2 linked regions of the Danio rerio genome follow. Each later gene encodes a partner of the first gene's protein in a complex. Links are inferred from orthologs where the notes say so. Each region holds a gene or a part of one and is shown in the gene's direction. Other genes may lie near its edges.

Region 1 (4,368 bases):
TATTGAGTCCTTCGGGCTTGATTGAAACCTACAAGTAAGTGTGTTGAAGCAGGTTTGGAACTAAACTGTGCAGAGCAGCTCGGGGAATTGAGTTCGACACCCCTGGTTTATAATGATTGTTAGTTTTAGGTACCTGGTATCACGGTTTCCTCTTTTGCTCTTTCAGATCTGGGTATTGGAGACCTCATCCAGGTGGACGTTGATCACCTCAACATCTGCAAGCCAGAAAAGAAGGACACGTTTCTTTATAAGCGTACTTTACAGTTTATTCAGGATGCTCTTGGGGGACGTAGAATTAAGTGAAAGTCTTTACAGTTTCAATTGCTTTCTTAAGGATTTAAGCATCACTTTTTAAAAGATAGTGTTATCTATGACTGCCATGAAGGAAGGAAGTTTTACAATTGCAACTGGAGCTTTTTGGACATCTAAACTGTAATGTCCTGTACATTTGAAATACCACTGACATTTCACTTGTATTGTTATTATTATTTATGCTTGCCATATGAATATGTATTATGGTAAAATCCTTGTTTAACTTTTAATGTTTTACCCCTTCAAAGCCTTGTACTGTATATCATTTCAGAGTAATTTGAATGAGCACTTGTTAGCATTTATTTTAACTAGACATAACAAAAAAAAGGATTATCAAACTTAGTATGTTTACTACATCACTGCACATTTTTAAACTCAGTTTTATTTATAATATTTATTCTACTTGAACAAAATAGACATGCTAATGAAACCTTGCCTTGTTTTTTTTGGTTCACCAGCTTTCTTTCTACTACCTCAGACACACAAGTACTGATGTTGCTGTAATTGCCAATACATTTGTACTAATTCACTGACCACAGTACTTTATTTTGCCAAATCTTTGTCATGTGAATAAAGTTTTGAATCCAAACTTTCCTCTCCAAGAATAAACACTTTCACTGTAAAGCAGGGCAACACCGTGGCTTGTCCTGGATGGGTAAGTTGCCATTTCTGTATGGAGTTTGCATGTCCTCCCCGTGTTGGCATTGGGTTTCCGGGTGCTCCGGTTTCCCCAACAGTCCAAACTGCAAAGACATGCTCTATAGGTGAATAGTATATGAGTGTGAATGGATGTTTCCCAGTTAGGTTGCAGCTGGAAGAGTATCCGCTGTGTAAAACATATGCTGGAGAAGTGGGCCCTGATGAATAGAGGTACTAAGCCGAAGGGAAATGAACGAATGCACAGTAGCGGTATTGTAATGCAAATGAGTACTCTAATCTCTATGACACACTATTGTAACCGTTAAATAAAAAGGGATTAGTATTCGCAATTCAAAACAGATATGTCCCAAATAATCAAAGTCTTCAGGATTGCGAGAAACTTCCAGGTGGGTGTTGTACTTTTCTGTCAGGGTATGAGAGCAGTCAAATAGGATCTGAACTGCGCTCCAAGCCAGCAGAGGGTAGTGGAGTTGACTGGTCCAATACTAGTCGGTGAGTAGAGGAAAACCATTGTTTCTAAACGCTAAATAGTTTTCTGACACCAGTCACTGCAACAAAGTAAAGTGGCAAAAGACAATAAGAATGTTAGTGTGTATGTTTTAACGCTGTCTTTAAAGTATAGGTTTAAGAGCTGTAAACAAAATGTAAAATATTTGTAAGGACTAACGTCATTCATGGTGGACGGCTTTGTTGCTATTTCGTTTTCTCTCATACAGAGCTTTTACTGTACCTTTACTGAAGCAGCAGTAAGTTACGTTAGTGTTAACACACCCCGTCCAAAATGGTCAACGTGTTGAAAGGAGTTCTCGTTGAATGGTAAGTTTTACATACCACTGCCATTTAAAGCTGCACTGGTCATTTTACCTCAATACAACATTTAAACGAGAATCCAACGGTGGGTTTATTTAAGAAATGTGTTAAATCTAATGTGCTTACACACAATGTGGATTCATATCCGATTAGTAGAAAATAGGGCTGCACAATATATCGTTTCAGCATCGATATCGCAATGTGATCACAATGTTGAGTCTGGATTATAATTAATCATTTTGCTATAATGATTCGTTTTATTGACTTGTTTATAAAAAACAAAGACTATGCAGTATTATTTTACATCTGATTATTTAATTCATGTGTACCTGAATACATTTAGACTCTTCAGAAAGCAATAAAATGCTGTTTATTTAATTAGCAATTTTTTCTTTATTGAATTCATCTATGCTTGTAGGTTGCTTGTTATATGTTATGAATCATCCCAATCCGTCTAAAATTATAAATTATTTACAAACCGTTTTTTAACTAATCTGGTGAAATTGTATTCATATTGCAGTGTATATCACGGAATAAAAATTATTGCAATGTATATTTTTTCCAATATTGTGCAGCCCTAGTAGAAAAGTACTTTTATTTTACATTTTTACGCCACTAAAGCAATGTTGCTGAACAACTGTTCACTAACGTAAACGTTACTTGCGAGAATATAATTACAGTCGACAGATGGTTAACATTTATTCACTGTTAAACGGCAAAAATCAGTTCAAAGCATTTGAAAAATGTGGAGAAAATATTAAAAAGTCTTTATTCACATGGCTAATCTTTAAAAAACCTACGCGTTTCGGAAAAGAACAGTTCTTTGTTTTATAAAGGCAAAAAACTGTAGTTTTTTTATGTGAATAAAGGCTTTTTAAAATTTTTTCCATATTTTTCGAGTGCTTTGGATGGATTTTTGCTGTTCATTTTGATGAATCCCTTACCCAAAGAGCACCGATTATATAAGCTACCCCTGAGCACGTTTTGTTAGATTTTGGATTTATTCACTGTTACCTGTAACTAAAAACTTTTTCTTTACCACGAGGCAACATCCTTAGCACGGTATCGGATCAGTTAAACTTTCAAATTGTGCAGTATTTGTGAACTTAATTCTGTTTATTGTCACAATTTCGATGGTTTACTTCCTGAGAAGCAACTGAAAATAATTGAGGTAAAGTTATTTTTTTATATTTGTTCATTTTAAAGCTCTCTATATCGTTTACCACGCTAATTTGAATATGGGGTCTGAAATTTAATTTAAGTATGACTTCAAAACAACATTAGCACGATTTAACTGACAGTGAACAATGTTGTACTTTGATAGTTATTGGCTGCTTATATGATTTTCCTATTTAGAATTTGTAAAGAATACTTTTCTGAAATTATATTATAAGGAGAAAATCTGAATATGCAGGATATAAAACCCACTTTACCTCAATCTGAAAAAAGCCAGATGTCAATAACATCAAATACAGGCTTGACAAACCTCTATTCTTAGTGCACCTTTAAAATAAAAGTCATGCTCTAGTAGTAGTGCACCTTCATATATAATTCTCTCTCTTTTTTTTTTTAAATGTGACCCAGTGATCCAGCTATGAAGCAGTTTCTACTATATCTGGATGAGACGTCAGCTTTGGGGAAGAAATTCATCATCCAGGATTTGGACGACACGCATGTTTTCATCTTAGCTGAAGTTGTGCAGATTCTCCAGGAGCGAGTAGGAGAACTGATGGACCAGAATTCATTTCCCATCACCCAGAAATAAACATCTGAACCTTGACAGCAAGACCCTTCAGTCTGTGGGAGCAGATGGATGTGGAGATTCTTTCAGCACAATTGCACAAACACAGATGAAGCTGAAATATAGAGACGATGACTGCCTACAGGGATGATGATGTGTATTCTCTTTGGTTTAGTTTGACTGCAAAGTTCTTTTATCTGAAAAAAGTATAACTTTAAACTGTTTATGTTTTTAAAGACATATGTTTAAAAGACAGAGGCTGTCCTGTGTTTTGAAAGTATTGTTTTACATGCAAGATGGCATTGCCTACAAATAGTTATGTTTTACTGAAAGTATATGTCATACTGAATGCAGACGGGTGATGTCTGTGATTTAACTTCATGCATAATATGCTTAGTGTCAAATAAACAGAAGAATTCAACTAAAGTATTTAATGTGTTCTTATTCATTTGTCTCCTCAAAACATAGGATTTAATTTGATCTACTCTGTGGTATTGCCAGTTTGTGTAGGTTTAGGTTCCCTTCCTGTTTATGTTCTACAACACCAATACAAGCCTTCAATATTTGATCCTGAAACTGGTAAAAAGATTTTACCTTGTGGTGAAGGGAAAATTAAAAGAGTGAACTGCATTCGATTTGAAAAATATCCAGCATGTCTTAAAGAGGAAGTAAAAGTGGTGTGATGCACTCATGGAAATACCTGAGAGTTGACCTAAAATGAAAATGGCTGTACAACATCACAGTTTAAAGTAGTTGTTCACCCAAATATGAAAATGTACAAACTAGTCAAAGTTAGTCAAACAAGAGCAGTAGATTGTAGATTTTATAAACCGGTCATCATAAAT
Region 2 (3,827 bases), on another chromosome or scaffold:
CTGACATTACTGGCATACATAAGCATGCCACAATAAATTTGACTGACATGTACTGTCAAATGACTATATTACGTACGGAAGTATGACTACGAATACATAAAATAAATGCGTTTAAATTAAAACAGCAAGGAAAAAAAAGTTCAGGCTCAGGAATTTTTTCCACTATCAGCCCTGTATATAGCAGATGAACCGAGACTGCATCAGATTGCGAAGCAGATCAATGTTGTTCTTTCTTTTGAGCTGTCAGAGCGGAAATGAACAAAACAACAGGCCTAACACAACATAAGATTAAAACATGAAAAAATGATCAGATAGTAACTTTGGTCAATTTTCCTGACGGATAAACTGAGATCAGGCTGGATAAACAGCTCTCTGTAATATTTCAGCATGCTTTCACTTTCGCATTTACTGGTAAGAATGACATCTCGCCCTGCTCATCATTCTCTCTTCATATAGCCGTATATATGGCCATTACACGATCATAATACACTGTGATATAGTCTGGGTCGTTGTTTTGTTTTCTCACTACAATCGATCCGCTCAGTAGGGCAGAGACCGTCTCATTCAGGCGATCTCGGACTGATTGATTTGGCGCGGATGCGAGCGCAATTGCTGGATATATGCCAAACAAACTAACGGGGGAAACGAGACAGATTCCGAAACAAACATCTATGTGTGAAAGCACCGTAAGATTGTATTTGCACACAAATGACAGACAGTCGCAGCACGCAGCTCTGGGTCGATCTGGCAGGCAACAAGGCGGCACTGTACACTGACCCGAGCGTCTCGCACGCTGGCCCCGGGCCATCGGGCAGTCTTATTGTCGAGCCCTAAATGTTTAAGCCCTGCCGACGGGTCTCTTGCATCTGCACAGTTTAACAAGCACTTCAGCAAGCGTGTTTTTCCCGCTTGGCAAGCCAAGCTGGCGTGACATTGGGGGCGTGGCAGCATCAACGATTCTAGTTTTTGATTCGATAATCGAAATTAAGCATAAATTTCGATCGATTTGGATTTAAAATCGAAATCGTGACACCCTTAGTGTCCTTTATGTTGTCCTTTTTGTTTTTTTATATTAATAAAATACTGTACCACATTAGTTGGGACTTTTTTGAGTACTGGTATTTCCTTTTCTTTATGATTTGTAATATAGCTTCTTAATTGTAAGTATCGAAAGAAATCGCTTGACGACAACATAAATTTGTCTTTAAGATAAGAAAATCAGTGCATAGTGTTTTCATTAAATAACTGATCAATTATCATAAGACCCTTATCCAATCATGTTTTAAAAGTGGCGTCCCATTTGGATGGTAAGAACTGTATTTTTTTCTCTCTAGACATTTCAAAAGAACAGAGCAGTAATCACAATAGCATGATATTTATATCTGTCTGAATCCCCATGACTTTGCTCATTCTGGCCAATGAGCTTCGATGTTAACTGGACAAGAGACGATGTGTGGAAATCAACAAACACACTAGCCAACCTGACGAAACCCAGTGGCAAACGACTAAATCTTTAAGTAGGAACAGCATTTGTTGCAGTGTGTAATGCATGCGTGTTTATTCCTTCAGCGCCACTAAGATCTTTGTGAACGGCTGCTGGGTGGGCATCCACAAAGACCCCGAGCAGCTGATGAACACGCTGCGCAAGCTGAGGAGGCAGATGGACATCATCGTGTCTGAGGTGCTGCTCTGATCTCTCGATGGTATCCTGCTCTCTATAGTGCGCAGCAGCTGAGCGTGGTGTTGTTCTGTGGGTCTGCAGGTCTCCATGATCAGGGATATCCGCGAGCGAGAGATCCGCATCTACACTGACGCCGGCCGCATCTGCAGACCCCTGCTGATCGTGGAGAAACAGAAGCTGCTGCTGAAGAGACGACACATCGACCAGCTCAAGGAGAGAGAGTACAACAACTACAGGTACATCTGCGCTTTCCTCAAGTCATATTTAGAGGAGCAAGGACATTTCCTTCTGGAGGAAGTCTGATTTGTTTTATTTGGGCTAGAATAAAAGCAGATTTTAATTGTTTTGAAGTCATGTTAAGCTCAATATTATTCGCCCCTTCAGCAATATTAGTGTTGGATTGTCTCCAGAACAAACCACTGTTATACAATGACTTGCCTAATTACCCTAACTTTACCCTAATTACCCTAGTGAAGCCTTTACATGTCACTGTAAGCTGAACACTAGTGTCGTGAAGAATATCTAGTCTAATATTATGTGCTGTCATCATGGAGAAGAGGAAACACATCAGCTATTAACTATTGTGTGTGTGTAGTTGGCAGGATCTGGTGGCCAGCGGTGTGGTGGAGTACATCGATACACTGGAGGAGGAGACTGTGATGCTGGCCATGACCCCTGATGACCTCCAGGAGAAGGGCGTGGCTTATTGCTCCACATACACGCACTGTGAGATCCACCCGTCCATGATCCTGGGCGTCTGCGCATCCATCATTCCCTTCCCTGATCACAACCAGGTACTGGCCCATGTAGACGTATGCCCATGAGGGTTGGCTATCCAGAACCGGTCCAAAACACTATGAATGAGTGATTTGCATCTGATTGGCTGTTGTCATTTTCTTGTCTCGACTCTGTCCATTAGTGTTTATCTTCAGCTGTGGGCTCAGCTTTAGAACCCTTCAGCCTATAGCAGAGCAGCAACTGTTCAGTAGGCAGGGCTAAAGAGAGTAAAGCCCCTGATCTGATTGGTCAAATTTAGATAAACAGCCAATGCAAAACCTAAATGTAATGTATCGCACATATGCATATACTATTATCACGATCTGTTGTGCAGCCCTATAATACACGTCCTATAAGATGCTCTCTCTTGTCCACAGTCTCCCAGAAACACCTACCAGTCTGCTATGGGGAAGCAGGCTATGGGAGTGTACATCACTAATTTCCACGTGCGGATGGACACGCTGGCACACGTGCTGTATTACCCACAGAAACCGCTGGTCACCACACGCTCCATGGAGTATCTACGCTTCAGAGAGCTGCCCGCAGGTAAACACTGCAGAGTAGAGCGTGTGTGTCCACAGCACTGGAGATAATCAGTTCATCTTACCTTTGTAACTATTACTGAGGATTATGGAGAAGTCTGACACGGAGAGTGTGGGTGGGACTGAGCTTGATAATATAGTGATGTCAGTGATTGGCTAATACAGTGATGCACACAGGGATTGGCTGAGTGGGAGGGGGAGGAGTCTCTGTCAGAGGTTTATTTGTAAGAACTTCATTCATTCATTTTCTTTTTGGCTTAGTCTCTTTATTAATCAGCGGTCACTACAGCGGAATGAACCGCTAACTATTGCCAAGTGAATAATTGCATTCTAAAAAGTGCATTTCTTTTCAATGCGTAGACATTAAAGAGTTTCTGATTATAATAAATTGTCATAATTAAATTAAGTTAATGTATCAATTTTTAGATATTTGGAAAAAACATGTAAAAATAGCCACATTTTTATTTATAGAATGTTTATATATATGAGCAATATCACATGAGTAGCAGTGCGATATGGCTGTAGATGCGCGGCCTCGTGCCTTAGTGGCCCTACCACTAAGCCGATATACAGCCATATTGCACTGCTACTCGTGTGATATTGCGTTTATACAACAGTTTGACGGCATAATTGCGTATATAAAAACAAAATCAAACATGGAGAGTCTCAAAAACCCTTTTGTATGAGGAACTACTTTCTTCCACATTGGATTAAAATCATAAGCTGACAGTTAAACAGCTGAGCAAGCATCTTTTACACTGTAGATCTGTAGTGTCTGTTTTCTGCTGGCTGTATGTGGGCGGAGTAATACACAAAGGGTAAAGAGG

The links.
Region 2: gtf2h5 (region 1) and polr2b share a complex: the UniProt entries of both Homo sapiens proteins name them as parts of the TBP-based Pol II pre-initiation complex. The link is inferred for Danio rerio from reciprocal best matches to the Homo sapiens genes GTF2H5 and POLR2B.

Annotation. Positions count from the first base shown.
Region 1 is NC_133195.1:28,728,604-28,732,971, reverse strand, and holds gtf2h5 (general transcription factor IIH subunit 5), read left to right. Parts: upstream 1-1,412; 5' UTR 1,413-1,530; exon of another isoform or gene 1,531-1,556; intron 1,557-1,688; 5' UTR 1,689-1,753; coding exon 1,754-1,788; intron 1,789-3,366; coding exon 3,367-3,547; 3' UTR 3,548-3,952; downstream 3,953-4,368. Other genes in the region: protein SERAC1, read left to right, coding at 167-303. UniProt on the Homo sapiens protein: Component of the general transcription and DNA repair factor IIH (TFIIH) core complex, which is involved in general and transcription-coupled nucleotide excision repair (NER) of damaged DNA and, when complexed to CAK, in RNA transcription by RNA polymerase II.
Region 2 is NC_133189.1:58,454,910-58,458,736, reverse strand, and holds part of polr2b (DNA-directed RNA polymerase II subunit RPB2), read left to right. Parts: intron 1-181; exon of another isoform or gene 182-625; intron 626-1,569; coding exon 1,570-1,681; intron 1,682-1,762; coding exon 1,763-1,917; intron 1,918-2,276; coding exon 2,277-2,475; intron 2,476-2,835; coding exon 2,836-3,004; intron 3,005-3,827. UniProt on the Homo sapiens protein: Catalytic core component of RNA polymerase II (Pol II), a DNA-dependent RNA polymerase which synthesizes mRNA precursors and many functional non-coding RNAs using the four ribonucleoside triphosphates as substrates.